Linked DNA regions of Saccharomyces cerevisiae S288C. Changing the gene in region 4 together with the main gene of any one other region gives a genetic interaction. Each region holds a gene or a part of one and is shown on either strand. Other genes may lie near its edges.

Region 1 (7,984 bases), on a different chromosome or scaffold from region 4:
AGAAGGAACATCATACTCTGGTTTGAAGTTACAAGGAGGGAACTGTCGTTGGCTTGGTCATAACAATGATCCTGACGTTCGAAAAGCCCTTGAACAAGGATATTCTGTATTCTGTTTTAGTGTTAATGGTTCAGTCACTGCAGTTTATGCATTAGAGGACTCTTTACGGGCAGATGCTGTCTCCACTATTAACTTGTTACGCCAAAGAGGGATTTCACTACACATTTTATCAGGGGATGACGATGGAGCCGTTCGTTCTATGGCAGCCCGTCTTGGAATTGAAAGCTCCAATATTCGTTCTCACGCAACGCCTGCAGAAAAGAGTGAATATATTAAGGATATTGTCGAAGGAAGAAATTGCGATAGTTCTTCGCAGTCAAAAAGACCGGTTGTTGTTTTTTGCGGTGACGGAACAAACGACGCAATTGGTTTGACTCAAGCAACGATTGGAGTTCATATCAATGAGGGAAGTGAGGTTGCCAAGCTAGCTGCTGATGTAGTTATGTTAAAGCCAAAGCTCAACAATATTTTGACTATGATAACTGTAAGTCAAAAGGCCATGTTTAGGGTCAAATTGAATTTCTTATGGAGTTTTACTTACAACTTATTTGCTATCCTTTTGGCGGCTGGTGCCTTTGTTGACTTTCATATTCCACCAGAGTATGCGGGTTTAGGGGAACTAGTTAGTATCCTCCCTGTAATTTTTGTAGCTATACTTCTGCGTTATGCAAAGATTTAGTCCAGGTACTGCTGCTATTTGATTGTAGATTTTCTTTTTTCTTTTCTTTTTTTTTTTTGACGACTCTGTAATACTCTATTTATTATTTAGTTTAGTTTTCTATTTAATATGATGGAATTCATAAAAAAAAAAAATACACATAGCCATGCCAGGTAATTGCAGATCAACTGATAAATTAGAAAAAAATTAATGCATCTTTAAGGTTTTAAATTAGAAATGTTTTAACTTTAAAGTCACTGAGCAATAAAAGTTCTACCTAATGTTGTAAAACTGTATTCATAACCGAAACACATTATGATTATGTCATTTGGTATTCCACACCAAAGCGAGGAGCATTCAAAATGATACCATTTATGATACCGGCAATCAAACCAGCAATTGGTAAAGTTAAAAACCAACCAGAATAACACCAGGCTACCATTCTCCAATTAACTGATTTGAGATCCTTGTTACATAAACCAACAGCGACAATACCACCAACGGCGATCTGGGTTGTTGAGGTAGGAATACCTAATTGGGTAGCCATGACAGTAGTAATAGCAACAGCTAGTTCAATTGAAAAGCCTCTTGATGGCGACTGCAAAATCATCTTATTACCTAGATTTTTGATAATATTGTAACCATAAGTCCAGCAACCAATAACTAAGGCAACACCACCATAAGCCAGAACCCACACGGGAACTTCGGACTTTGCCCCAATAGTGTTAGTTTTCCAGATCACATACACAGCAGACAAAGGACCAGTAGCGTTGGCAACGTCATTAGCTCCATGAGCAAAAGACATAGTGGCTGCAGTAATGGCTTGGAGAACCGAATAGATATATTCTACTCTATTGTCGTAAAATTTAGATCTTTCGTACATTCCTTTCAGGTCACCAGATAACATATCTCTATCATTAACTTGAGCATGAATGACGTCTTGAGTCCAACCATGAGAGATTACTAACCAGAACAATAAGGGCCATTTTTTAGGTCCTTGCTTTAATAATGACCACCAATATTGTTTCGTTGACAACTTTGTTTCTGGTTCAGTTTCAGTTCTAACCAGGTCCACTTCCTGGATGTCTTCTTTGTTTTTGACGGAATCATTAGAATTACTCGCTGCCTTATTTTCTTCGTCTTCAACAGAAACAGTTGTTCCAAGATTTCTTCTGCCCTCGTAATAATCGATTGTTAATTGATGGCCTTCTGGCATTGGTGGGATATCATCAGTGGACTTAAAGTAAAAAGATGGACCTCTGAAAATATCAATCAACTTTAGTGTCCAATCTTGGTCCAAAACTTTTCTTCTGTAGAATGGGTAGAAAAAGATGAAGTAAACGATCGAAGCAATTGCACCTGTGAGAACAATAGATACGGCAGTTTCAGTTTCAGATAAATCGTCCAAGTGTAGGTTTGGAGAACCCTTCCAGACAATCAACATTGTTAAGATAGAGAAAGTGGCGAATACTAAAACACCAACCAGCAGTAAAGCATTCTTAATCGATCTTTCCAAAGACTTAACTTCAAGGACAGAAAACCTAGAAATTGAAAAAACTATAGCTGCGATCGCGCCTGCCAAAATCGGAGCAATGAACCATGACGCAATAATTTGAGAAACACCACTCCAACCCCAAACGACACCGTTAGCTCCACCGGCTGCAATCCCAGCGCCAATTGTACCACCAACAATGGAATGTGTAGTAGAAACTGGCATTCCGATTGCAGTAGCAAATGTTAACCAACAAGACGAGCCAATCAAAGCACTGGTCATAGTAAGCATTAAAACAGCGGGGTCGTTGGTAAAAATGGAGGAATCTATAATGTTGTTCTTGATAGTACCAGAAACTCTTGCGCCTGCCAAGACAGCACCCAAGAACTCACAGAGACCCGCCAAAACCATGGCTTGCCAGTATTTTAGAGATCTAGAAGAGATCGACGACGCGAATGAGTTCGCCACGTCGTTTGCCCCGATGTTAAAGGCATCCAAAAATGCAAATAACATGGCAATGGCAAAAATATAGTCAAATTGATGTAAAGCCATTTTTGCTTAATCTTTGTTTATATTGATTCGATTAGATACGCTCCAGTATTCTCACCTTTGATCTATGTCACTCATTCTATGACAATTCATGTAAAATAACCTCAATGTAAAGATCATCTTCAGCAGGTTTATATATAATTTTCTTCATATCGAAAACCGGGCTTAGTGACATGAATTGTTTGGAGATGTCCACCCAGTAGACATTGTAAAAAAAATCTGCTATTGACTGAGTTAATCTAATGATTTACATAATAGAAGGATCCAAAGTGGCTGTGACATCTAGTATTGATAGATTAGTATTATTACTATTTGTCTCCCACGTGCTGCATTGTCATATGCAATTTATTAAGATTACATAAACTCCTTTGTACGGTATATTCTTAAAGCCTTTCAATGACTCGGGCCAATTTTTAGCAATATTTCGACATTTAAGGGCCCACTAACAAATTAATGGCACAACGTGGGGATGACGAAAAAGCAGAAAAAGAAAAAAAAGGTCTATCGCACAGCCACACACCCTTGTGGTGAAGCCGTTTTGTGATCGGTGTGGCGCGATCTGTGAAATTTAAACTTTTTTGCGGGTGAAACCGAGATTTCTGAAACTAGATTTTCTGGCTTCGCCAAAGAAAGATGCATCGAATTAATGAAATTAAACGGATGTAAGGAATGAAATTATAACGATTCCGCTAATGTTCTTTACTGACGAGTGTCACTGAAGTACTTACTCGTGAACAAAAATTAACCTATATCAGTAATTTTGATATTGTTAAAAGTAGGTATCTCTATCAAAAGAGATTATAAGACCCATCGGCAAAACTCGAAATATCGTCTTGAGAAAATCATTATACAGTACATGGTGCAATTTTAAATGATTTTTAAATACTATTATATAATCGATACATTTAGTACACGCGAAGACAACGTAGTGTTGAGATTCAAAGAGGTTACAGTTGAATACGTGACAAAGCTGACGAGAGTACTGTGAATTCAACAAACCATAAATGGTCACTCCAAGTAACGGTATTGTGATTTCAACAGAAAACACAAGCATTGTGTTAGCGTGCTCGTAAAATATTATTTCAGCGGTGAAGCAGATATGCGTTAAAGGTGGGCTCGCTATTAAATCATGAACGAAAAAACAGTTATGTCGTTACTGGTGTGAGTCGATATTACGAAACCACTGGCAGGTAGATGGATAGAATGGGACTGATTGGAACAGCGCAAGTTTTTTTCCGTGGTCGGAATTCTCGTAGTAATATTGGAAAATAGTTGGAAGAAAAATTGTGTGAAAAAATACATGCTGAAATAGTCAAACGAAGAGAGGTGAAGAATAGATAAAGCTGTTGAGAGGCAAGACAATGTTTTCAAGATGATCAGAAAAGGATACGGTCCAATATCTATTTATATTCATTGCCCTACCGTGGTATGTTAAAAAAATATGTTACATTTATTGCTCCCATTGGATTTTGCACAGGTGTGAAAGAGCTCAGTTGTCAAGATTTAGTCATTAAGAAGGGCCGCAGCAGCTTTTTGTATAATAGAGCGTCTTTTTTGTTTGTGAAAAAAATTTTATGGTGAGATATTGTTCGATTCTACGAAGTCATTTTACTAGTTTATGGACTCTGATATAAGACAGAGTTGACAAGGAAATGGTGCCGTGATTGTTTCCGTGTACAGCTTTTGAGAACTTCCTTGAAAACCAATCATCTAGCACTTTCATTTCTGGGGAAAAACCTGGAACCAAATCTTGAAAAATAAATTCCCCAGAAGTTTTCCTTATTCCGTGTTCTAATCTTCTCGTTCACTTTGCAGTGACATTCCACGGCCATGCGCAATTTACCCCGCCCCCGGATTTTATTGTCCGTACCGCCATTTTTCAATAGATTAAAAAGGAACAAAAAATCATTTCAGAAGGTTTCTTTCTCGGGAAAACACTAGAGTGTAAATATTGAATATCAAACATCGAACGAGAGCATCTTGAAGATATTTATGTTCTAAATATGACTTTAGTCAAGTATGCATGCGACTATTGTCGTGTCCGTCGAGTAAAGTGTGATGGTAAAAAACCATGTAGTCGCTGTATTGAGCACAATTTCGATTGCACATATCAGCAACCATTAAAAAAAAGAGGCTCAAAGCCTATTGGAACTAGAAGCTTAAAGTATATACCAAAGGCCAAAATGTTTATAGATAATAAAAGTTGTACGGCAGCGGCAGAAATATTAATGAAGGTTCCTAAAAAGGTGATTGATCAGTGTTTGAGGCTTTATCACGACAATCTATATGTTATCTGGCCTTTACTCTCTTATGATGACCTTCACAAGCTTTTGGACGAAGAATACAATGACCATTACGTTTATTGGTTTCTCGTAGCTCTTTCAGCAGCCAATCTTAGCGATCTACAAAGCGAATTAGAATCTGAGGGGGGATTTTCGTTTACTGGAAAACAATTAGCCGTTCTCTGTATGTCCTCACGCCAACAATTTGATGACCTTAGCGGCAGAGACATTTTCCGAATTATGACATATTATTGCTTGCTACGTTGTTTTTCACAGTCTTCTGATGTAAGAAATTCATACAGACTTTGTCGTGAAGCTATTGGCCTTGTTATTGTAGCAGGGTTACATCGTGAAAAAGCATACGAATCACTATCATTTCGTGAGCAACAGCTTTTACGCAAGGTGTATTATTTGCTTCTCTTGACGGAAAGATACTATTCCGTATATGTTCATTGTGTTACAAGTTTGGATACCACAATAGCTCCACCTCAGCCAGAGTTCGTAACGGACCCTCGACTTTCTTTGGATAGCTTTTTTGAGATGATTAGAGTATTTACTGTACCAGGTAAATGCTTTTTTGATGCTTTGGCTACGGAGTCTACTAGCGGTTCTTGCACTGAAGACTCACTGAAAAAAATATGGAAAGAGCTTCACACAGCATCCCTTGAAATAGAACCATGGTCTTATGGCTATGTGGACATTTCATTTTCTCGACATTGGATTAGGGCGCTGGCTTGGAAGCTAGTGTTTCAGATGAATGGTACCAAGTTTTTCTCAAACGCCAATAATGCTCACATATTGGTCGAAATTGCAAAGGATATGCTGGACGACATATTCTTAACTCCAAACAACCTGTATGATGTACATGGTCCTGGAATACCAATGAAATCATTGGAAGTAGCCAATGCATTGGTAGATATCGTAAATAAGTATGATCACAATATGAAGTTGGAGGCTTGGAATATTTTGTGCGATGTATCCAAGTTCGTTTTCTCCCTGAAACATTGCAATCATAAAATGTTTCAAAGGTTTTCAACTAAATGTCAGAGTGCTCTAATCGATTTGCCTATCTCTAGACCACTGCGCCTAAATGATGATTCCAAAGATGAAGACGACATAATTCCTTAATTTATTGTTCACGCCGTTCACTTATACGAGATAGATATACTGATAGAGTGTGAGTGATATTCTTAAGTCTTGCTTTTCGAGGGTGTAAGAAGCTATGTTCTTCAGGCGAGATTATTCTACTCCTGCCTTACTTGTTTGTAATATTTAGTTCTGATGGTCATGATAATTCTATATACAGTTACATTAAGTATATACTTAAGCGGGCAGCTTACTAATATAAATTTTGTGGCATTTTTGTTGGGATATGAGAATCATGTATCGTTGATTTACAAAGCGAATTTACGTTACCAGGAATAGGGAATACTCTCTTGAATTCTAACATAAGCACAGAAATGCTGAAAGAATACGTCAAAAAGTAAATTTACAGAATTAAAAAAAAAATAATTGTTGCCGGAACATGAATAGAGTGTATCAATATACAATATAAAAATTCAAGCATTTTCATTAACGGGAATGAAAAAATTGTATATTAGTACTTCTTTTTGCAAGATATTTAAATCTAGGACCCTCATCACAATGATTCATTTAAATCATTAACGTTTTTTCAGAACAAAATAATAACCTCTAGTTGAAAAAACTTCAAAGCCGCAACAAAACCAAAAAAAAGTCATAATGTCGAGTAAAAATAAACTCGATGTGTTAAGTACTAGTTATATAAAATAAAATTAAATAACGCCGTATCTACCTACTGGCTAAAAAAATCATTTGTTCACAACAGATGAGGTGTTTCGCCCTTCATCTACCACAGAAGTTTCCAAATCTTCCTTCGGATCTTTAACATTAATTTCTGCAGCTGCTGCTTTGGCAGCTGCAAAAGGGTCGACTTTAGTCGACTTGAACTTTCTTGCTGGAACACCAAGTCTAAACAATTCATTTATCTCAATAAAAGTCCTGCCAGCGGTTTCTGGTAAATCGACAACAGCCCAAGCTAAAGTGGCCAGACAAAATCCTCCCCAGAAAAAGCCTGATTTAGCACCCCAATTCCATTTCTCTGAGTTCAATTGGTACATGATCAAAACTGTAACTACAACTTGGATCACATTGTAAGCATTACGAGCCAAAATAATTGTTTTGGTTCTTAGCCTTGAAGACGGTATTTCAGACACTAAGCAAAAAACAACAGGTGCAATACCGAGGTTGTAAAAGAACGCGACAACCATTAGAAGAGCACCACTACCCATTTTAGCGCCATGAGTGTCTGAACATCCTAAACCACCGATAATGAAGAACATAATAGCCTGAAAAGCCAGCCCAAAAGCATAAAGGTCAAATCTGCCACAATATTTTGAAGCCCACCAGGATATAAACGTTGCAGCAATACCAAGACAATATTGGATAATACTGAAAGTAAAAGCCGTATCAGTGCTAACACCAGCTTTTTCATAAAAGTAAGTTGAATAACCAATTAATGATGCACCACAGGAGCATTGACCGATCCAACATAAACAAGCTATTCTCGTTCTTCTCCTGTTAATACCATCTTTCACACAATCCCAGTAAGTTCCTTCATCAGACATTTTCTGCTCCTTTTCTATAGTAGTTTTGATTTTATCGAGTTCCATACTCACTAGTAATTCTTTCTCGGGTCCTTTACCACTTAATGTTCTTTCAAGTGATCTCCTCGCTTGATCAATCCTTCCTTTTTTAACCAGCCACCATGGAGACTCTGGTGCAAAAAAAATACCTACCGCCAAAGGAAGGGGCCAGATCCACTGCAAAGCAAAAGGTAGCTTATATCCTAGTTCTGAGTTGGCATATTTGTTCTGGGAATTTTTCATAATACCAGCAGCGAAAAGTTGACCGAACGCCCAACAT
Region 2 (7,711 bases), on a different chromosome or scaffold from region 4:
AAGAACGATCAGCTGAAGCTGTGATAATAAATGCTACATAAATGCATGCCCTTAAAACTGTATAACCATGTCTAATTATCCTTTGCATCAAGCCTGCATGGAAAATGAGTTTTTCAAGGTACAAGAGCTGCTACACTCCAAACCTTCCTTGTTGCTACAGAAGGACCAGGATGGCAGAATCCCTTTACACTGGTCAGTTTCTTTCCAAGCACATGAAATTACCAGTTTTTTGCTTTCTAAAATGGAAAATGTTAACTTAGATGATTATCCAGATGATTCTGGATGGACACCTTTCCATATTGCTTGTTCAGTGGGGAATTTGGAGGTGGTAAAGTCTCTTTACGACAGACCTCTAAAGCCTGATCTAAATAAGATAACCAATCAAGGAGTTACATGCTTGCACTTGGCAGTTGGTAAGAAATGGTTTGAAGTATCCCAATTTTTAATTGAAAATGGTGCGTCCGTAAGAATTAAAGATAAATTTAATCAAATTCCATTGCATAGAGCTGCGTCGGTGGGTTCTTTGAAATTAATTGAACTATTATGCGGTTTGGGCAAAAGCGCTGTAAATTGGCAGGATAAGCAGGGTTGGACCCCACTATTTCATGCTTTGGCTGAAGGGCACGGTGACGCAGCTGTATTGTTGGTGGAAAAGTATGGTGCAGAATATGATCTTGTAGATAATAAAGGCGCTAAGGCAGAAGATGTTGCCCTTAATGAACAGGTTAAAAAGTTTTTCCTAAATAATGTATAAGATTTCAAAACTACATATTACAGAACTTTACATATCAATATTATTCTCAAAAAGCAACTCACAAGCGTAGTAGATCCCGCTGTAACCTCCATCAGCTGGTATTTGGTCATTTTCCCCGACCGATGCAATCAACAGTAGTCCGTTTTGTTTGATGATCCTAGCCAACGACGGGCATATCTTCAGTACTTCATATGGAAGCGTTACACCTAACAAATTATTGTTCATAGCAAATTGAACCATTGTATGTATGTTTATTAGTTCCGTGTTTAAATACGACATTTTTTGAGGATTTACGGCCAGTTCCTTTAAACAATTAGGAGTATCACCTACAAATTTGCCTGTGGTTGAATCTCTGAGTAGATTTTTCATTTGCAACAAAACCGGAAAATTGGGTTGTTTCCAGTTAAGGATCGAGCAAGCTTCCCAATTGCATGAACTGAAAACTATTTGGCGCATACTCCCACTTCCGCTGTGACGCAAAAAACGTTCATGCTCGAAAATGATTAGTAAAAGCTTATCAATGAATTGATTGATATTTATAAATGGCGATATTTTGATGGGAATTGTGTCAATTTCCTTATCTGTAGGAAAATATACACGAATTACCAGCTGGGCTGACCCGGGAATAACTTCTAGTAGGCTTCTGAGAGGCACCACTCTCGAAGATAAGTATTGTTTCAATGTTACTTCATCGAAGCTTCCATCAATTTTACCGAAGTCATAATCCACTACCTTTTCCAATTGTTCTTTCGTTAAATCATTTAACAGAATCTTCGTGCCTTTGAATTCAACGTATGGTTTTGGCGCAGCCACTATGGTTTCATCATTCAGAGCGCAAACTAATACACTAATAAAACTGCCATTCAACGATGAAGAAGTAACAAAATTACCGTCTTTACTAGAGGTCATTAAATCACTTCCTGTAGATTTCCAATACGGCTCATAATTTATGATTTTCAGTGGATTTCCCGGATAAGGAAAAATAATTTGGTAATCCAAAGTGAGAGATCCAATATTATTTAGTCTTGTGTCGAATAAGGGTAAATTCATGGTTGCAATACTATTTATTGCCACCTTCTTGAAAAGGAATGGCATTGCCGTTGTTTTGGCAATTATCCTTGTGCCAAATGAAGGAAATATCTCGAAATCCATTGAAAAATCGTCGATTGAATCTACTTGGAAAATTATCTCTCCATCATCATGATCTTCACTAATTTCATCATCATCTTCTTCATCATTTGTTTCACTGATATCCTTACAAAAGTTATTAATTTCGCCAGATCTAACAGGTAAAATAACATTTCGCGGTATTATTTCAGGTAAGTTTGAGGATAAAGTAATTCTGCCTGGTGATGATGACATAATAATGCCGTTATCCTGAGTCAACTTGATAGACTCGAGACCTGGCCTCAACTTTAATTTGATGAAAATTTTTTTCTCCAAAAAATTATGACCATATTTCCTTAGTGGAATGATTGGCGGTGGTAAAGCAAAATCCGGAATGCTATCTTGAATGTCTAAATCAAATTTGTCATCATTTGGGGTTAAATCTATTGTATTAAGGCGTTGCGTACTAGACTGCGAATTTATTTCATTCAGGGGTGCAGATGGCAAATTTAATGGTCTTTGTAAAAGTGCATTCAAAACATCAACGTGGCTCTCCCATAAGGCGTAAAAAAGTGGCGAATGGCCGTTGTCATCTTCAATATCCAGACGTGCATTATGTTTCAATAGTTCAGTAATAACTTCAGAATGACCTGAACGAACAGCGTAAAAAATGGGCGTCCATTTATTAAACCCATCAATTTCGTTGGGATCCGCCCCATAACGTATCAATAGTTGAATTAATTGTGGATCGCCGCCAATTTTTGCCACTATATGAAGAGTGCATAAACCTGTTGAGTTCTTTTTGAAAAGCGGTTGACACAAGTGTTGTGAACTTTTGTTCTTGGCATTATCAGCATTTTGCTTACTCCGAATTTCTAAAAGTAACTTGGCGGCGTCATGATTATTAAATTTACAAGCAACATTTAAAGGATCGAACTGGACTTTAGTAGAGCTGATTACATTCTTACTATAATCCAGAATTGGCTTTTCAATGGGTGATGCGTTCGCACCACCAATAGTCAGCAGATCCCTAACAACATCTATGTGGTTGTTAGTGATAGCCAAAACCAAGGGTGTCTTAGAATCACTATCAATGGGATCAACGTCCTCTAAAAGATTGGTGATTAGCAACGAGTGAACAAATTCCAGTTTTCCTAGCTCTGCAGCATAATGTAGCGGCACCCGCGAATGTATATCTTGGGCATTCAGTAGTTTTTGTACTGTTTCTTTAGATAACTTTGATGTTGTTAAAGCCTCATCTAGAATAAATAAGCGTGATTTTTCTGGACAACTTGCAGCCTCGTGAAATACGTTTTTTCGTGAAAATACTTGATCATCTTCGTCACAATATGACAGATCAATATGATCCTGATTGCTTTTATAGAAAATATGCAGAGAGTTATCGTCCAAAGGACTAGCCACCAGTAATAAAAACAGCGTCGTTAAGCACTCCTTCAACAAAGAAAAGACATTTTTATGAAAAGATTCTGAGGAATTTTGTAGCAGATATGTGAATATCTTGGTTTCTCTGAAGTTTCTTAGTAGTGCATGCTTTCTTTGAACATCTTTCACCGTGGCTATATTCAAAATTTCCTTATACCAGTTTTCGATTTCCATCTCCATGTCCAAGGAGGAGGAAGATGCTTGAAAAAGATGTTCAAGTTGGTTTTCCGAAATCTTTGATGTTGTTAATTCATAATTATTGTGTAATATGTTATTATTATTGTTGTTGTTGTTGTTGTTATTATTATTGTTATTATTATTATTGTGTTTATTATTGTTGCTGGTATTATTGTCGTCATCATCGTCATTAGTAAACGTACTGGATTGTATGTCTGCCCTTCTATTGTTGTTGTCAATATCATTCAGCTCTAAGAGAATATGTAAAGTTTCATCGTTTAATTTTAGTGGCCCATCTCTGGTAAAAATTGGTTGAATGGAAACAACAGTAGCAAGGTAAAAATCTTTATCGTGAGATTGAGATCTCTTGTCCCATTTCTTCAGAGCTTTTGAAAATCCCGTTTTATTTAACTCAACATACTGCTCCAAATTTCTAAGATCCTTTTGAAACTTTTTGAAAGCCGCATATAAGTTTTTAAATGAGGTAGCTTGGTTTGAGTTTAGCTTACCATTTATCTTATAATCTTTATATTTTGAGTGTAATATATTGAATTTTATTCTTAAATCGGACTCTCTCGCCAAATAATAACCATTTACTTTTTCCAGCTCCCTCTCTAGTTTAAAAAAAAAGGCAGCTTTATTTTCTTGCAGTCTCTGATGTATAATTTTTTCGTCGATGTCATCTAATGTTAAATGCAAATCTAAATCTGAACTAGCCTTTAGCGTGGGAATGGCCAATTGTTTGATAAGTTTCTTTAGAGCCTTATAATCAATAAAATGGCTGTTGTACTCCGCCAGTTCCAACTGCCTGGCTTCCAAATACTTGCCGAATTTCATTGCACGTTTATCTATCTATGTTGCCTCCAAAGGGTTATTCTCTCAAAAAGCTCAATCACTGTGGAACCGAAAAATAATGTTATGAAGATTTTTTGAGCAGTATGTCTTGTCAAAAGCTCAACTAGTGCAGCTGATGTTGCTTAAAAAAATAAAAACCAAATTTTTCTACTTTGCTCTTGTACGTTGCACAAAGAAGATTATGTAACAAACTTGAAGGGACTCTCAAAAACTTGCTATAAATTGTACAAAAGCCTCAATATCACCTAGTAGTGGTTCTATACCTGTCTCGAGCCATCGCCAAATAGTTGATAAATTTGATTAATTTCTGCCCTTATTCGCACGTGCCATAACACCTGTACCTCTCACGCTAAAGACCTTTATAATCAAGGAAACTTGTTGCTGCAGAGGAAATAGGAGGTAATGAATTGTGATAAGGCACATCACATCAATTTTTCTTGCATTCTTGCATAGAAAGATAGGCTGATGCAATTAGCGCGTTTCAATCGCGTGCCAAAGACGTATATACTAAGCAATATAACCGAATTGATTAAGTAGTTGGTTAATTGTATATTTTGTGATAAAGATGGTTAACTGACTTAGGCGGACATAATAGTAGAAAATCTATATAATTTTTCCCATGCAGTTGTTATTACAAAATGCAATTCTTGAGATAGCACAAGCAAGAATAATAGGGCACGGTACGTTCATTCACGTAGCGTTAGCTAGTGCTGCCACAAGGTAAACGTACGATTATATTCATTTTTGAAACGGAAGTTCTTTGTAACCCTCATGCTCGTTTGATAGTCACTTAACTACAAGATATTCTCGTTCAGTGATTGCTTGCTTATAAATCAGGAAACTTCATTTTTATTCCTTACATTTTCGAAAAGCCCGCAAGGTTTTCTTCGCCACGCTCAAGCATTCATCGTTGAAAAGCAAAACTGTGCACACTGTACCTTAGGCGACTCTTCTCCGAACAAGCTCATGGCTCATTTTTAAAATCACAAGCTTCGTATAATTGCCAAGACATAATCTAATTGAGAAGGTCAGACGGCAAAACAAATGACCGAAATCTTCGTTTATTGGTTCGCCTGCGTTGCCAACTGGTACATTTTCCCAGAGTACCAGCAAAGGAAGGCATCCTTGATGCCTACTCTGATACTGTGGAGGATTTAAACTGAAAATGATAGTCTGCGCGGCAAATCTTTCTATTTCTACTAAAGTTGGATCCTCCGGCCGATATAACGTATTCTTTTTATCCAATAATGTCAATTTTAAATGCTCGATTACTAATCGTTACTAAAATAGCGGACGCGCTTATGCGTCTTCGACGGATAGTTTTCAGATCATCCCTCTCAGAAAGCAATGCAGGAACCGCCTGTAAAACTATCTTTTGCTGGCACTCACACATTATGGTATTGATGCCACCTGAAAATACGGAAATTAACCATTCCTTGTACGGAGATCTAAGAGCAACTATTATTGAATTGTTGCCGTTAAAGTTTCATTTCAGTTCCGTGTGTGGTCAAGTACAAGACTACTGATGAAATATGTTGTACACACACGGAAATATATATATATATATATATATAACAATATTGTGGGTTGAGGTGGAGACTTGATTTTTCTTATACAGTATATTCTTGTTCATTTTTTACCATTTTCAACAAACCACACAAAGACTTTATTCATTATGCTAGCCGAAAAAACCCGTTCCATAATCAAAGCAACCGTTCCTGTTTTGGAACAGCAGGGCACTGTCATCACGCGTACATTCTACAAAAATATGCTTACTGAACACACCGAATTACTTAATATTTTTAACAGAACTAATCAAAAGGTTGGCGCACAACCAAATGCCTTGGCCACTACTGTTTTGGCAGCGGCTAAGAACATTGACGATTTGTCTGTGCTTATGGACCATGTCAAGCAAATTGGCCACAAGCATCGTGCCTTGCAAATTAAACCTGAGCATTATCCAATCGTTGGTGAGTACTTGTTAAAAGCAATCAAGGAAGTTTTAGGCGATGCTGCGACTCCAGAGATAATTAATGCATGGGGCGAGGCTTACCAAGCAATTGCTGACATCTTCATCACTGTTGAAAAAAAAATGTACGAAGAAGCTTTATGGCCAGGTTGGAAACCATTTGACATTACTGCCAAAGAGTACGTTGCTTCAGATATTGTTGAATTTACTGTTAAGCCAAAGTTCGGTTCTGGTATTGAATTGGAAAGCTTGCCAATCACTCCAGGTCAGTATATTACGGTAAACACTCACCCAATTAGACAGGAAAACCAATACGACGCTTTAAGACACTACTCTCTTTGTTCTGCTTCAACTAAAAATGGTTTACGATTTGCAGTAAAGATGGAAGCTGCCAGAGAAAATTTTCCTGCAGGATTAGTCTCTGAATATTTACACAAGGACGCTAAAGTTGGTGATGAAATTAAGCTTAGTGCTCCGGCTGGTGATTTCGCAATAAATAAAGAGTTGATACACCAAAACGAAGTTCCATTGGTGTTACTATCGTCTGGTGTTGGTGTTACACCACTTTTAGCTATGTTAGAAGAACAAGTCAAATGCAACCCAAATAGGCCAATTTACTGGATTCAATCTTCCTATGATGAAAAGACTCAAGCATTCAAAAAACATGTAGATGAACTATTAGCTGAATGTGCGAATGTCGACAAAATAATTGTTCATACTGATACTGAACCACTGATTAATGCTGCATTCTTGAAGGAAAAGTCACCTGCGCATGCCGATGTCTACACTTGCGGCTCTTTAGCTTTTATGCAAGCTATGATTGGTCATCTAAAAGAACTAGAGCATCGTGATGATATGATTCACTATGAACCATTTGGTCCAAAGATGTCAACCGTGCAAGTTTAGGCGTTAAGCCTCGGAAACTTCAATTTTATTACTGATTCATTTGATAATTTCACTTGTTCGATTTCACAGTTTGAGAAGTTATATTACGAAATAAGAAAAATTTTTAAAACATGAGACCATTGCTAATCTTTTGTTGTTATACTGTGTTAGAAATCCTCGTGAAATCCTTGTGAAATCCTATGTGGAATATTTAGATAGTAAGTAAAGATTGTGTATGTATTTATAAGATGAATAAGCGCCAGGTGCTAAACAGAGTTCACTTCACGTTAACGCCAGTCCAATTTTTGATTGCATTCCCTGTTTTTTCTACATCTTTGTTCAACCATTTTTTGGCATCATAGTAGTATTGCACAGACGCGGTACTTAATCTCTTTGTTTCTTTCCAAACACGATCTTGTCTTTCGGTAAAGTGTGGAAAGGTGTTCATTTCTAGATTATGGATGAGACCCATGGTGTTCCTGAAGGTTGTTGGCATTGCATACGCAAAACAACAAGACCCC
Region 3 (8,122 bases), on a different chromosome or scaffold from region 4:
AACCCATTTGTATCTCAAACTCAGCCACAGGTGATGAATACACCAACCGCTCATACAGAGCCCGCAAATTTAAACGTTCCTGAATATGCAGCGGTCCAACACACAGTGAACTTCAACCCTGTACAAGATGCTGGCGTAAGTGCCCAACAAACGGGGTACTATTCGATTAACAACCATTTAACACCCACATTTACAGGTGCAGGGTTTGGAGGATACTCCGTTTCACAGGATACAACTGCCGCTTCTAATCAACAAGTCTCTCATTCACAAACTGGTTCTAACAACCCGTTCGCATTGCACAACGCCGCGACGATCGCAACAGGGAATCCTGCACACGAAAATGTCTTAAATAACCCATTTTCACGACCAAACTTTGATGAACAAAATACCAATATGCCGCTACAACAACAGATAATAAGTAACCCTTTTCAAAACCAAACGTACAATCAACAACAATTTCAACAACAAAAAATGCCTTTGAGCTCGATCAATAGCGTTATGACAACCCCTACTAGCATGCAGGGATCGATGAATATTCCTCAGCGTTTTGATAAAATGGAATTTCAGGCTCACTACACTCAGAATCATCTCCAACAACAGCAACAACAGCAACAGCAACAACAGCAACAGCAACAACAGCAACCACAACAGGGTTATTATGTGCCTGCAACTGCAGGAGCCAACCCTGTTACAAATATAACTGGGACAGTTCAACCTCAAAATTTCCCTTTCTATCCACAACAGCAACCACAACCGGAACAGTCTCAAACACAGCAACCAGTTTTAGGAAACCAATATGCTAACAACCTCAATTTAATTGATATGTAATATCTAGTATAATCAGGTATGTAAGGGAGTACTCAAGTGCATCTTTGGATAGCTATATATAGTTGTAAGGAAGAGCTATGTAATTTTTGCCATTTTGTACATATTTTGCATTTGTCCTATAGTATGTAATACTTACATCTTACTGTCTTCAATTCCTCCCGCCAACAAAAGATTTCGATAGCGCCGCACCATGGAGTTTATATTGTTATTTCCGAGACGACCTATATAAGGGAAAAGACGAAAACTGGGTATTTGATACTTGTCTAAACTTCAATGGACAAATGATATAAAATACAAACAATGAATAGTAACCGATGCCAAACGAATGAGGTGAATAAATTTATTAGTAGTACAGAAAAGGGGCCTTTTACGGGCAGGGACAATACGCTCTCTTTTAACAAAATCGGGAGCAGACTGAATTCACCACCGATTCTGAAGGATAAAATTGAGCTGAAATTTCTACAACACTCAGAAGATTTGAATCAATCACGGTCCTACGTAAATATTCGTCCTAGAACCTTAGAGGATCAAAGTTACAAATTTGAAGCGCCAAATCTAAATGACAATGAAACTTCTTGGGCCAAGGATTTTAGATATAACTTCCCTAAGAATGTTGAACCGCCCATCGAAAATCAAATCGCGAATCTTAATATAAACAACGGGCTACGGACATCTCAGACAGATTTTCCCTTAGGCTTTTATTCACAGAAAAACTTTAACATTGCTTCCTTCCCTGTGGTTGACCATCAGATATTCAAGACAACAGGTTTAGAACATCCTATCAACAGCCACATTGATTCTTTAATTAATGCTGAATTTTCGGAACTGGAAGCCAGTAGTTTGGAAGAAGATGTCCATACAGAAGAGGAAAATTCAGGTACGAGTCTGGAAGATGAAGAAACTGCCATGAAAGGTTTGGCTTCCGATATAATTGAGTTTTGCGATAATAATAGTGCCAATAAAGATGTAAAAGAAAGACTAAACAGTTCAAAGTTTATGGGGCTGATGGGCAGCATTAGTGATGGTTCTATAGTTTTAAAGAAGGATAACGGTACAGAAAGAAACCTTCAAAAACACGTAGGTTTTTGTTTTCAGAATTCAGGAAACTGGGCTGGTCTTGAGTTCCATGATGTTGAAGACAGAATTGCTTAACGGGCCTTGAAATTTCTTTAATTTAAACCATGAATTTCAGATATATAACACTTTTTAACCACTTTCAAGAGAAAACAGTATTAAATTACATACTGCGTTCACAGCTATACGTAAAAAGAGTGACAAGTGAAGAATAAACGTCATTTTGAAAAAGGAATTAGAAGTCTGTCATTTCAACTGAGTTTTTGACGGAGGAATTATCATTATCGGGTTCTCCAATAAAACTTAGCTTGTTACTACTTCTTTTACTTTTTTTTTCTCGTGTTCGATGTCCACTTTCATCTGTGAGACTATTATTCCCAGCATTGTCTTTCTGGAACTTAGTTGTCGTTTTAAATTTCCTCATGTTTAAACTAGAATCGTCGCCACTATCTTCTGCTTGCCCCCGGTTCGTAATTTTATGTGTACTTTTTTTCTGTTCATGCTGTCTATCGCTTTTATATACAGGATCACATCTGTTATCAGTAATAACATCATTATCGTTTTCTTCTTCTATACCGAGTAATCCGGCCTTGACATCGCTAACAAAGCTCCAAAGCGACCTGGAGACTGATCCTTGCGAAGGAGATTTTTGGCGAGCTCCAGGTGCTTCATTATCGTACTGTTGCGCGGACGACTCGCTATTACTAGTCGGTGTCCCTTCCTGTACCTCAGGCGTACCTGAAAGAGAGTCATCCCAATTCAGAGTTCTTTCAATTTCATGCTGAATGATTTTATCAAACTGATTAAACAGAGCTAATGGTTTGCTCCAAAGTGACTGTTTGGATGAATCTGACGAGTCGTCCCTTTGGCGCCTTTCTTGAATATCTTGCGGAGACACAGATCTTGACTGATTAGTACTTTGATGACCCATGTTCTTTGGTTTACTGACAGAACTAGGAAGGCTGCTGTTACCAGCATTTTCAGTTCGTGATTCCAAAGGTATATTCTGGTAAACCGGTGAAAAAGCCCGGTTTTTAACAGGTGTATTTAGAGAGGGATCCAAATGTTTACTCACTTGCTCCTTGAGTTCATGCAGTTCACGTGCCCGACGAGTATAGTTTTGCTCTTCATGCTGGGTTTGCTTTTTCAAATCTTCAATCTTTTGTTTGCATTCCAGAAGTTCTAACTCTTTTGTAGCGAGAGATTGTAGAAGCGCACTTACATCGACCCCATTTGTTGGTATGGTGGTCGCTATCATACTATTAACCGACTGCGAACTCCCATTTCTAGACCGTCGAAGTCCGCTGGCCATCGCTTGCTCACTAGAAAGTACAGTGGTTGACTCTAATGGGATTCCATAGGATCCCTCAGAATGACTTACTGAAGGTAAGTTGTTTTGAGATTCTGGTGTAGTGGGAACAACCATGGGTTGAATAAGTGATCTTCTCTTGCTCATTGCATTTGGAACTGAGACAGAAGAATGACGAGTTACCACCCTCCTAGCATCTGGCTTGGCTTGTAAGGGATGGTCCTGGTCATTTAATCTGGTAGGCGTCATTAGTCTTTGCGAATGCATGCTTCCCGCACTGGACGTACGATGGTGTTCTAGCCTATATCCATTGGAACTAGCAGAACGAATCTTTCGTCCAGTTTTCCTCACAGGTGACATCGAAATTATACTATTTCGGGTACTGGTGTCCACATCCAAATCCTTCTCATTAGACTCTATAAACTCGTCAAATTTATTCATATCAGTGCCCTAGGAGATAGATTTAATTATCCTCGGATCCATGTAGTGGTAATTGAGAAAAGCACAGTTAGTATTGGCCTTTTTCCTTACCTATTATATTGAACTTTACAACTTGTACCCTTCATCACCTTTGGAATCACGCGGCACGTCTTCTGGGGACTTGGCGACGCGGTTGTTGATAGTAAACTACAAGCAAGCATTCCTTTAAAATACGAAACAATAAGATATAGAAAAGCAACAGGGCTCGTTCTATAAAGTAATTGTTTTGCTTGATTTGTGATACTTACACTTATTAACAAATTCACAGTAATTTTTCAGGAAAAGTTAGAGCCCGTTTGCTTCAATTTGCACCTAGAAAATAACTCAAACATGGCTGGATTCAGCTTCGCCAAGAAATTCACTCACAAGAAACATGGAAAGACGCCTTCTGATGCTTCTATCTCTGACCAATCTAGAGAAGCTTCACTGTCAACTCCTCCAAATGAAAAATTTTTCACAAAACAAGAAACGCCTCAGAAAGGGCGTCAATTTTCACAAGGTTACCATTCTAATGTTAATAAAACTAGTTCACCACCTATGTTTGCCAGAAAACAGGTATCCGAATCAAGGATTCAACCGAGCGCAGTACCACCGCAACAGCGAAATGTCTCAGGACCGTCCACTACTCTCCATAAGCAGCTTTCAAAACAGAGAGAATATACCGTATGGAATAGAATCAAGTTACAGAATTCTCCTTTTCCACGTTATAGACATGTTGCTTCAGCATATGTTACAGACAAGAACCAGATATATGTTATTGGGGGACTTCATGACCAATCTGTGTACGGCGATACATGGATATTAACGGCCTTCGATAATGCCACCAGATTTTCCACTACAACGATAGACATAAGTGAAGCTACACCACCACCAAGGGTAGGCCACGCTGCTGTATTATGCGGGAATGCCTTTGTTGTATTTGGCGGTGACACACACAAAGTCAATAAGGAAGGTTTGATGGACGATGACATATACCTTTTGAATATTAATTCCTATAAATGGACAGTCCCGGCACCCGTGGGACCACGTCCATTGGGAAGGTACGGTCATAAAATTTCGATTATCGCCACAACTCAAATGAAAACAAAACTGTACGTGTTTGGTGGTCAATTTGATGACACCTACTTCAACGACTTGGCTGTTTACGACTTATCTTCTTTTAGAAGACCGGACTCTCATTGGGAATTTTTGAAACCAAGGACCTTTACACCACCACCTATTACCAATTTTACTATGATATCATACGATTCTAAACTATGGGTATTTGGTGGCGATACCTTACAAGGTTTAGTAAATGATGTGTTTATGTACGACCCTGCAATAAATGATTGGTTTATCATTGATACCACGGGTGAAAAGCCTCCTCCAGTTCAAGAACATGCTACTGTAGTCTACAACGATCTGATGTGTGTTGTAGGCGGGAAAGATGAGCATGATGCTTATTTGAACTCCGTGTATTTCCTAAACTTGAAATCGCGTAAATGGTTTAAATTACCTGTATTTACGGCTGGAATTCCGCAAGGCCGTTCTGGGCATTCTTTAACATTATTAAAAAATGATAAAATTTTGATTATGGGAGGAGATAAATTTGATTACGCTAGAGTCGAGGAGTACGACTTGCATACCTCTGATATTGATATGCAAAGAGGTACAATTGTTTATACGCTAGACTTGGCCCGCATAAAGGACCTTTGTCCAGGCGTAATGGATGTTCCAACTGATACGCCAACTCCGAGAAATGGTAATCTTGACCTGGCGACGCCCGTTACCCCAACCTCTCATCAAACTAAAAATATGAACGTACCAATTTCAGCAGCTCCTCTAGCTTCCGCTCCATCACCTGCACCAAAAGATTTTTCAGATGCTGATCGCCTCAACAGGGAGGTACACAATCGAAATGTGTCAACAGAACACCAAAATCAGAGCCACCCAGTAAATTCTGAATCTCACTTGATTGCTGAGCCTAACATTTTGACTCCATATGTTCCATCTGAAAGCTCACAAACGCCGGTTATGAAAATAACTTCCAACAAACCATTTGATACGCCTACTATCCAGAAAGAACCTGATCTTTCTGAAACTATGGATCCAACAGTTGGAAATCAGCGCATCCCATCTTCAATCTATGGAGATAATCTCACCCCTGCAAACCAAATAAAGAATAACTCCCCAATATTAGAGACGCTTCCAAGTAATGAGATAAAAACGCCCCAAAATGGTAATATAGAGGAAATAAAACATCTTCCTGACGCTGATGAAAAAATAGATTCCACGACGACCTTCGACCAAGAGATAAACGGGGACAAACTAGGCACATCTTCGATGTCCAAGGTTGAAGAGGACGGCAATGTTGCTGACGAAGACGACGAAATCGGTGTGGCTCAAATGGCGAGCTCCCCATCCAAAGATCAGTTCAAAATAAAGCATTATAATGAATCTTCAGAATTATCACAGAATAATACGGAGATCGACAAACTGTCCGAGCCTGTGGATATTACAATAAAGAAAAGCGACACCGCGGGCCATGATAGTGCTAACCATGTTATTGATGCAAGTGATGAAAAAAACGTGTCCCCAATGGGAGACGTTCCAACTGATACGAAAAATGAAGAAGCTAGCGTTCCTATAAATAGAGATGCTACTACCGAAGTCGTAGATAGGGCACTATTTGAGAAATTAAGATCGGAATTGCAAAGTTTGAAAGAATTGACGCACGAAAAGGCGCTTGAAGCCGGAGCTCACATAAAGGAATTAGAGACGGAGCTATGGCAGTTAAAATCCCAGAAGAATTCTGGGACAACGAAAGAAATAGATGAATTGGATTCCGTCAGACTGCAATCAAAATGTGAAATACTAGAGGCAGATAATCATTCCTTGGAAGATAAAGTTAATGAGCTAGAAGAGTTGGTGAATAGCAAATTCTTAGACATAGAGAATCTAAATGAAGTTATACAATTTCAGAACGAAAAAATTAAATCCTTAGAACTAGAGCCTAATTACAAAGAAAAACTTGAAGAACTACAGATAGAACATGAGAATTTGAGTAGAGAAAATGAAAGGTTGAAAAATGAAAGCAAACAACATAACGAAGATATAATCAATAATGTTGCGAATTACTCGTCACAGTTAGGCTCATTGATCAGTCATTGGAAAGAAAACAGAGCCAACTCTTCGTTTCTTGAATCTTCTTCTTCTTTGATATCTGTATCGGATGAAAATGGCGAGAAAACTGTCGGTGAACCCTATGGTGATCAAAGTCGTCACCACCGTGTAGTGATTAACAAACTAACGAATAGATTGGACGATTTGCTGGAGAGAAGTCAAGAGCTAACAATATCTAAAGAAAAACTATCTTCTGAATACCATGCTTTAAAGATGGAACACAGCTCATTAAGTCAAGATGTATTAGTAAAAGAGAATGAAATCAAAAAAATACAGAATGATTACAAAGAAAGTATCAGTTCTATGGACAGTGCAAGTAAGGCACTAATGGTTTCACAAAGAGAGCTAGAGAAGTACAAGAGTTTGAATAAAAAGTTAATCGACGAGTTAGATGAATTGAAGTTCAAAAATGGCGTCTGCAGTGAAAATTTCGAAAATGGTCTCAGAAGCACCGAGGAGAGTTCCAATAATGTAAAAAATAGCAACAGCATAAGAGAAAATCAATTCAACATCAAAATAAATGATCTGAAAGCGGAACTCTTCATCACTAATCAAGAAAGAGATGACTTGAAAAGTGAAGTGTTAGAGTTGAAAAAGAGATTATTGAATTTGGAAAATAACACCAAACAAGTTAATGAAGATGCTGACAGCGATCTACTATAAAAGACAATATGCGTAATGAAATTTCACTTTTCATGTGTAATAACAATAATAATAATAAACATTGATAATAAACATTAATAATATTAATAGTAATCATAACAATTATAATAATGATATAATATAATAATAACTGTACTCTTGACAAAAATTTATATATCATGGAAGAATAAATGAAGGAGAGAAATAGTAACGTGACAAATAGCTTATGCTAACGATATCAAACTAAATCTCAGGGACTACTAAACTGAAATATGCTCCCATTTGAAGCCTGTCTCTCATACATCAGCGCAGAATAGTCCGATTGCAGTATTTGGGCGGTGCTGGACGAAGATATGGGTCTGATTTCATTTACTTCACTTCGTAGCAATGTAAAGCTAAATTCATCCTCTATTTCATCTCCTGCTTGATCATTCCTCTGTATTAAAGGATCGTCATATAATGTGTCACTATACAGAAGACAGGTATCATTATTATTGCTTTCCACCCTCTTCGGCATGCATACTGGGTCGCCTAAGATAAACGGAAGAGATACTGTTGCAGATTTCTTAAAGGAATTGCTTAAGAGGTACGTTGAAGCTGTTCGTTTTAACCCAGGCTTAGGATAGT
Region 4 (8,415 bases):
TCTATCGTCGCCAGATTCATCTTCATCGCCAGACATATGCTTTTGAGCTTCGGTAGCGTCCTGTTCTTGCATTTTTTTCAATTCTTTTTTCAACTTTCTTTTCTCTTTTTTAGAAAGGGCTTGGCTTTGATATTCTTCAGTATCTGCAGCAACTTCCTTCTTAACATCGGCCTTCTTTTCTTTCTTCTCAAGCTTTTTCAAATTAGAAGCTGTAACGATAGTTGGTTCTTCTTTCTTCAATTCTTGGGATTTCTTTTTCTTTAGGTCATTTTCAAGCTTTTCAGCTTTTTCAATTTCCTTTTGATGCGAAAGCAACTCCTTCAACTTGAAACCTTTAGCCATTCTCTATATACCGTTGTTCAACTAACTGTGCTTTGTTACCGTTTAACTTTTTAACAGCGTAAAATTCTATAAAGCTCATCTCATCTGTATTTAGGCAGAAATAAAAAATTTTCAGTCCCGATGAGTAGTTATATCACTAAATACGAAGTCATATGTAAATTCTGCTGAATAAAAATATTGTGGACATATTGCTTAATTCTTATGCGCCAAGATTTTCACGGTACTAAGCCATTTTCTCTTAATTGAGCGTATAATTCAGCGCTTATATACTTTTCAAGCGTAGGACCATCATTTGACATAAATCCACCTGTAGAAATACCCTTCCGCCTTCTTGTTTTCATCACGAAATCACGACTTAAACTGTTGATAGGTGCGGGTTTCAATTTTGGAATAAACGCATCTTTATCCAAAACATCACCAGGAACCTTCCTCCATATCTTGTGCCAAAAGTACAGCTGACACATACCAAGACCATTCGTAGATAATCTCAAATCTGTCTCGAATCCTGCAGATTCAATAACCGGAACTTGTCCACGAACCTCCAACAATGGTGTCCCTGCCACTTTTATTGTTTTGTATATCCTGCTTCCACGTCTCTTCTTCATAAGTTCCTCTACTATTGGCAGCAAGGGGGCGTGGACCGTGATGTCAACTTCATAGATGGGTTCCAATAAAATTGGGATTGCTGTCAGTAAGCCAACGTAACAGGCTTTTTTCATTAGCGGAATAATTTGACTTTTCATAACGTCAATGTTTACGTCGGAAGGTACTGAGATCGATAACAATTTATACTGTACACCATAAATTGGTTCTTCTGCCAAAGGCCCCTCTTTTACAGCCCAGTAAAATCCTTGTATTATTTGTTCCTTATATTTGGATAATAATTCAGGACTGATTTCATCTGGCAAAGTGTCATTAATCAACACGTTGCCATTATAAAAAGACCAAACGTTTCTTGATGCCAACGAATCCCACCCATACTCGGTTCTCAATATTTTGGATAGTTTCCTTGGGTTGTCCATTATTCCGTCAATATCCAAGCAGTTTTGACCCTTTCCCAATGTGTTCCTGCTCAAATCCTGAATCATTTTAGAGTCCATTGGTTCAGCGGCTACACTAATCGACAGACCTGGTAAATTTTCCTCACCAAGGCGAGATATCGAATTACTTACAGGTATTGAAGCGAACGATTCATTTGAGCAACTTTCAGAAAAAACAGTTAAAGGATCAGATATTTTAATTTCTATCTTTGCATAACTCGCTCTTAGATCATACAACAAACAGTCCATATACAGCTCTCCATTTCCTAGTATTACATGTTCTCCAGATTCCTCAACTTTAATAATAACGCCTGGGTAGTATTTCGAAATTTTGTTCAGGGCATCCAATAACTTGGGTAATTCCCTTGGCAGTAAAGGTTGAAGAACAATTTTGAAAACTGCCTCGGTAATATAATCTAAAGGTTTGAAAAATTTTAGCTGTTTCATGTCCTCCTTACTCTTTACAGAGTACAACGTCGCGGATTTAATATATGCACTTGAAATACCTTTTATTAATACTATCTGTCCTTTGTGTGCTTCATGAACCGGATAGACATATCTGCCACCTAATAAGCCAATTTCTTCGACCTCACATGAAGGCGTTTCGTCATCTTCATCTTCATCTTCGTTGGAGGTTTCCGTCTTTGAGATATCATGCAACTGTCTTTTTTGGCGAGATTCAGATTGTGATGTATCAAGTATACGTACTGTATCCCCTCTCTTCAAAAGTCCAGAGTATATCCGTACAAGGGACCACTCTGCTCCACCGTAATCCACAGTTTTCAGTACATGAGCCCAAAGAGTGCCTTCTGGTGTAGATTTTCCTGGAATTGAAAGATGAGCTGTCTTATTGTCGAATAATTCAAATGGTTGATAACATCTGGTTATCGCATCTACAAGACCGGTTTGTTGCCTAAATATTAACTGTAGAACGTGTTTTAAAAAAGGTTGCGGATCGTACTGGAGGGCCTCTTGACTTAAATTAACTCTAAAGTTAGACCTTAACAAATTCTTTAATTTATCTTTCTCCATAGATAAAGCGTAGGAAAATATTTTATAAAGCGGGATGAGGATAAATTCAACGAAAGTCGGGTACTTCTCTACATTTTCAAATGGTTTTGTCCTGAAATTACCTTTATGGTAATATACGCTACCCCATAGCCTTGTGGTAAAGTCGTCTATCTTAGAAGAAGGTATGGAGTGGGCGTAATAATAAGAAACAAATTCCTTGATAGTGAATGTGAAGCCCAGCTTTGTAGACGCAAATATTATGTTATTGTCTATTGGTGAAAACACGTTTCCCTTCGTAAAGGAATTGATATTTGCAATTATATGATTTAACTTCAAGTATGCGTCCATTGGTGGCAACTTTAAATCTAGAATCAATCTGTCGAGTTTATTTATAACAAAACACATTGCTACATTATTTTTAATACTTTGTTTTATCAATTGCTCTACCACAAATGTAACACCTTCTACAACATCTATCACGATTAAAACCAAATCACTTGCTGCAAGTGCGACTGCCGTTTCATCCATAAAATTAACATGCCCTGGTGCATCCAAAAAGTTTATCATTCTAGACTTGGATTCTAAATCGGTGCAGAGTAGAGTGGAACCATTAAGTTTAATGGAAAGACCCCGGTCAATCTCTTGTTTCAAATTATCCAGGTATCTTAGCGGTTTCCATCCAAGTTCTACATTCTTAGACATATCTGGTATGCGTTTGTGTGAGTCGATTACTAGGAGATCCATCAAAGAGGTCTTACCTGAGTGAAGAGGTCCAATGACACCAACATTTATTATCCTCTCCGGAATGTTAGCCATTGATAACATATAGTCTCGATTATATCTAGTCTTCGGAATGTTTTTTTTTAATTGTGTAAAAATTGTATGCTCTTGCAACTTTGTTCGTTCTGTAACCGGCTCTACCAGTGGAGTCTGTGGTGACTGTGTGTTCTTAGTTTCCATTAATACTTCCACTTCCTTACCATAAGGGTGCTCTAAGGAAATTCCAAGTTCCTTTTTACTTCCTAACGAGGTAAGTTGTCTGCTCTCAATCTCATTGTTGTTGCCGCTCCCCTCAAACGTATTGGTTTGATATTGTTCTTGCTCATCCAGCACACTTTCTTCTTCATCCGAGTCAAAAGGATCAACTCCGATCAAATTTCCAAACTCATCGAATAAATCGTCACCTTCCATTTTGCTATGTTAGGAGCTATTGTGTATCGCTTCTGTAAAAGCAGCTAGCAATCGTCAGCCGTTGGCAAGTAATGCCCCAAAGCCTTGTTTTCTGCCACTTTGAAATTTTTCAGGCCTTTCCGGCATTAAAATTTCCGCAATGAGGCTTTAACAATCATTAATCATCCCATAAGGATAAGCCAAAAGAACAGATCATCAATTTGACGAAGAACATACCAGTCCGTGTATTTGTTTGCCATTGTACAATAAAATAAATAAAAATAAGTCAAATAAATGAAAAATGCCAGAGTATACGCTACTGGCTGATAATATAAGGGAGAATATCGTTCATTTCGATCCGAATGGTTTGTTTGATAACTTGCACACCATTGTTCATGAAGATGACAGTCAAGAGAACGAGGAGGCCGAGCATTTCAATTATGATCAGGTGTTGGATAAATCGTTATTGTCAAGAGGTTCTATTGTCGGTCTCGGTTTAGGACTAATGAGTCCCGTTTTAGGAATGTGCACTAGTATGGCCATTGGGCTAATTAATGGTGGTCCGTTAACTATAATGCTAGGTTTTTTAATCAGTGGAGTGTGTATATGGTTTTCGTCGCTTTCTCTTGGTGAGATTGTTTCAAAATTTCCGATGGAACTGCATGTTGGGAGTGCCATGTTGGCCCCGGAGAAATTGAAATTAGTATGTTCGTGGTACACTGGCTGGTTAATGCTCATAGGGAATTGGACTATGAGTACCAGTATTACTTTTGCAGGCGCTCAACTTACCATTTCTTTGATTCTGATGACGAACTCCAACCTAATATCCGAGGCACACTTGATTTTTTACACAGTCATTGTATTTTACTTAGTTGTGACTGTTGTAGGCCTCGTGAATTTGAAATTTGCAAGATTTATTGAAACAATAAACAAAGTCTGTGTTTATTGGATCATATATGCCATTATATTTATTGATATTCTTCTACTAGTATTCCACAAAGGTAAATTTCGATCTTTGAAGTACGCGCTATTTCACTTTGATAATAATCTATCAGGGTATAAAAGCGCATTTCTTTCCTTCATCATTGGATTCCAACAGTCTAATTTCACGTTACAAGGTTTCAGTATGTTACCTGCTTTAGCTGACGAAGTCAAAGTTCCTGAGAAGGATATTCCACGTGGTATGTCGAATGCGGTATTGTTATCCGCGTTCTCTGGAGTCATTTTTCTTATACCAATAATGTTAATCCTGCCAGATAATGATTTGCTTTTTACCAATCATAAGGTTCTACCAATAGTGAACATTTTTACAAAATCGACTGATTCGGTGGTCTTGTCTTTTTTTTTAGTGCTCCTAATTTTAGGAAACTTACTGTTTTCCGGAATTGGCTCGATTACTACATCTTCTCGTGCGGTATATAGTTTTAGTCGTGACCAGGCTATACCATACTACGATAAATGGACCTACGTCGAACCGGATTCTCAGTCAAAAGTCCCCAAGAATTCTGTTGTATTGAGTATGATAATATCATACTTTTTAGGTCTGCTAGCTTTGATTTCAACGGCCGCATTTAATGCTTTTATAGGCGCTGCAGTGCTCTGTCTTTGTTCTGCGACTTTCATTCCGTTAGTCTTGGTGCTGTTTACGAGAAGAAGAGCTATCCGAAGCGCGCCAGTAAAAATCAGGTATAAGTTTGGTTGGTTCATCAACATTGTTTCTATTGTGTGGCTCTTGTTATCTATGGTTTCTGTTTGCCTACCAACGCAAGTGCCTGTAACTTTCAAAACAATGAATTATGCTTTAATGGTGTACGTATTCTGCATTTTAGTTATCACTGGTCTTTATTTCAAATGGGGGAAGTATAATTTTAGATTACCCTTGGCAGATGACATCAAGGCTCCAATTCCCAGTGATGCGGAAGAAACTGTTTTTGAACTAGAGGATAGCAATGTTGAACATACTCTAAACTCGGGAACCACAGTGAAAGAGTCTGTAGAAAATAATTCTGAAGAAGGTTTCATCAAGGTGCATCCTAAAAGTAGTACAGAAAATCCCTTTGAGGAAAATGAGGAAAACGTGATAACCGATTATGGTGATGAGCACCATACAGCAGAACAAGAATTTGATCTTGCCGATGATCGTAGATATGATATATGATATATGATCGTGATTATACACCGTTATTTAATGGGAAAAGACTTATATAGAAAGAATATACGTAGTTTTAATTTATCAAGTGAAAAGGGCACTCGCTAGAATTAGCAAAACGCCAGTGCAGCACCATTTCAAGCAAGTTGTGCCTGAGCTATGGGACTGTTTCATTTCTTCATCACCTTCTCCTTGATGATGATGATGTCCATCGCTAAATCCGATACCAGTTTGGAACATTTGTAAACCAATTACTAATAGGAACCCTGCAGTAACGCTCAGTAAAAAATCCATGTTGGGTTCGTGATCCCTTGGAGTACTACCTTTAAAGATGAAATAACCTATCAATGCACCTAATGGTTGAGATCCACCACCGAGAACGGCAGTAATCAAAATGGCAACCCATTTAGATTCGAAAACAGTGTAGAATGGTAACGTCATTGCAAATCCTTCGACAAAATTATGGATCGTCAAACTTAAAAAAATGGAAAATCCCAAGGACTTTGACGAATCTGACCTGTTAGTGTAAAAAATAATAAACCCTTCGGGAAATTTGTGTAATGCAAGGACTAGACAAGTTTGCATACCAATAGACAGTAATTTGGAAAAAGGGGTCTCTAAGTGATGATGGTGGGGGTATAATGAACCATTTTCGGGATGGTATTGTGTGTCTGCCAATGCGGCCGGATTCTCAGTTACATCATTTCCCAAAGGTGACGAAAAAGAGTGCGACAACTGGTTGGAACCATAATTTTCGGGCGATTCAGAGGAATGATGATGGCGGCTCGAAAGAAAATTCTTACGGTACAACGATAGGTTTTCAAGATCGTAACCGATATTATTTTCCACGCATACAAGGCCACGATGATCCTTGTCATCGGATTGTCCATTATCTTCTGATCCCTCGCATCCATGTGGCACGTTTCTTTCACTTTGAGAAGACTTTATCACTGGTGGGACACATGCAATATATTCTGGCTGCTCTGATTGCAAGAGCGGAGTGCACTTGTTTAGGTCACAACACTCGCCTTCTGATTTCCTTCTGGTTAATAAGTCAATTAGGGACATTTTCTTTTTCATTTGGGGTCTATCGCTATCCTTTGTAATCAACGGGTCATTTTCAGAAACACTGGAAGAAGATGTTGCATAACCATGCTCAGAGGGAGCATTTTCTAAATCATGATCGTTGCTAAAATTCGAATGCGAATCCGCATGTGAGTGTGAGTGCGAATGCGAATGTGATTTGGAGTGTATATGTGAACCTGTAGCATGGTCACCGCTATCAGCACAGTGTACCAACGATTCGCTGGCGAAAGCGTGGACTAGGTAGTTTAAGAAAAAACTGAGGCAAATACCCAAAAGCAATCCAGGAAAAACCTTGAACCGGTTTGATTTTTCGATCCGAGGCAATAGCATGTATAGTGAAGTAGTGATCATAGATCCGGCACTTAGAGAAAGACCATAGTTGACCAACTTAGATTGGCTATTGCGCTTGCTATCGAAGGCAACCGATAACAACGGCACACACAGGGCCCCAAGTATGCACAGCACCGACGATATAAGAGAAAACAACAACCACCTGGGAATTTTTTCCATTTTCTTGCGTTTCTTCACTGTGATGCTTGTGAGAATATTAGGATATACCAACGTGCAACTCTGAAATGTCAAAACGGTCGTGTATAAATAAATGATATACCAGTAGGTGAAATCATCTCATTTGTCTTTCTAAAAAAGTCCATTACCCTTAAGGTTGTTGTCACAACCCACGGAGCAGTTTTAGAGGTGCAAAATTGAAAGAATGGCCACATTTTGAGCAATTCATCGACAACAAGAGCTTATGATTAACTTGGGTTGTGGGCAATTGGGTGTACTATGAAGCAGCCAATACCTGTTTTACAACAGTATTCTCAGTTTCAGCTTAGAGATGTGTCAAATCGAAGGCTAGTGTGGTGCACGGAGTTTATGGCACATTGGTAAGTAATCATTGCAACTTTTTTTTATTTGAGGAATATAGTAAGAGAGAAGCTTTAGTGATGGTCAAAGAAGAGAGGAATACAAGTGAGTTGTATCTAGGATTTTTTATTACGTGAGTGTTGTTTTACTTTAGTCGGTAGGAATCATTGTTATTTTTGTCTGTTTGTTTGTCTCTATTTTTGGGTACACGTGCGTGTTTCTTCTAGTGGATGGTTTGAACGAAGCAGGTTCTCAGGATTGATTGATTGATCTGCTTTAGTGTGTAACGTTCTGCGACTAGCTTTCGTTGCTACCGATATATAAAGAAAAAAAGGAGAGCGTGTGTTTGGAGCGTCTTAAACCCCATTGGTGAGAGCCTCCAGTACCATTTGCCTGTTAAAACTGTCTTGTGTGTGGCCTTGTAGAGAAGGTGAAGAGGGAGAGTTTATATGTTGGGTAATTTACTGAGAAATAAGACGAGTTCGTCTGGTTTTGAGAAGAGCTCAGAGCATTCCGATTTTTCCTCCGTAGTTCCCAATGTCCCTGTATACTGCAAAGCGGCAAGCACAGGAACTACTAAGACCGCTGCTGGAGCTCTTTTAGATACTGCAGTCAATGTGGAAAAGCCTTCGGAAATGCTATCAACGACTTCTCCGCCCATTTTAGATCATATATCGGATGACTTAAAACTGAAGCTTTTCGGCTCGAGGGATATTCCTTATAGTCGTCCTATCGATACGTTACAAAACA

Evidence for each region.
Region 1: mutations in TPO5 (region 4) and MAL33 together harm fitness more than expected from each alone (negative genetic interaction), as found in Saccharomyces cerevisiae (one large-scale study listed by BioGRID).
Region 2: mutations in TPO5 (region 4) and YHB1 together harm fitness more than expected from each alone (negative genetic interaction), as found in Saccharomyces cerevisiae (one large-scale study listed by BioGRID).
Region 3: mutations in TPO5 (region 4) and TDA11 together harm fitness more than expected from each alone (negative genetic interaction), as found in Saccharomyces cerevisiae (one large-scale study listed by BioGRID).

The regions. Positions count from the first base shown.
Region 1 is NC_001134.8:795,761-803,744, forward strand, and holds MAL33 (transcription factor MAL33), read left to right. Parts: upstream 1-4,762; coding exon 4,763-6,169; downstream 6,170-7,984. Other genes in the region: cation-transporting P-type ATPase PCA1, read left to right, coding at 1-739; PHO89 (Pho89p), read right to left, coding at 1,038-2,762; TYC1 (Tyc1p), read right to left, coding at 4,363-4,482; MAL31 (maltose permease), read right to left, coding at 6,871-7,984. UniProt on the Saccharomyces cerevisiae protein: Regulates the coordinate transcription of structural MAL3S (maltase) and MAL3T (maltose permease) genes.
Region 2 is NC_001139.9:953,893-961,603, forward strand, and holds YHB1 (flavohemoglobin), read left to right. Parts: upstream 1-6,011; coding exon 6,012-7,211; downstream 7,212-7,711. Other genes in the region: NAS6 (Nas6p), read left to right, coding at 68-754; PHO81 (Pho81p), read right to left, coding at 782-4,318; MIC26 (Mic26p), read right to left, coding at 7,468-7,711. UniProt on the Saccharomyces cerevisiae protein: Is involved in NO detoxification in an aerobic process, termed nitric oxide dioxygenase (NOD) reaction that utilizes O(2) and NAD(P)H to convert NO to nitrate, which protects the fungus from various noxious nitrogen compounds.
Region 3 is NC_001140.6:413,079-421,200, reverse strand, and holds TDA11 (Tda11p), read right to left. Parts: upstream 3,653-8,122; coding exon 2,138-3,652; downstream 1-2,137. Other genes in the region: YAP1801 (Yap1801p), read left to right, coding at 1-828; PEX18 (Pex18p), read left to right, coding at 1,129-1,980; KEL1 (Kel1p), read left to right, coding at 4,022-7,516; REC104 (Rec104p), read right to left, coding at 7,746-8,122.
Region 4 is NC_001143.9:117,686-126,100, reverse strand, and holds TPO5 (Tpo5p), read left to right. Parts: upstream 1-3,864; coding exon 3,865-5,721; downstream 5,722-8,415. Other genes in the region: EBP2 (Ebp2p), read right to left, coding at 1-342; U5 snRNP GTPase SNU114, read right to left, coding at 558-3,584; Zn(2+) transporter ZRT3, read right to left, coding at 5,797-7,308; LST4 (Lst4p), read left to right, coding at 8,115-8,415. UniProt on the Saccharomyces cerevisiae protein: Required for polyamine transport. Transports putrescine effectively and spermidine less effectively.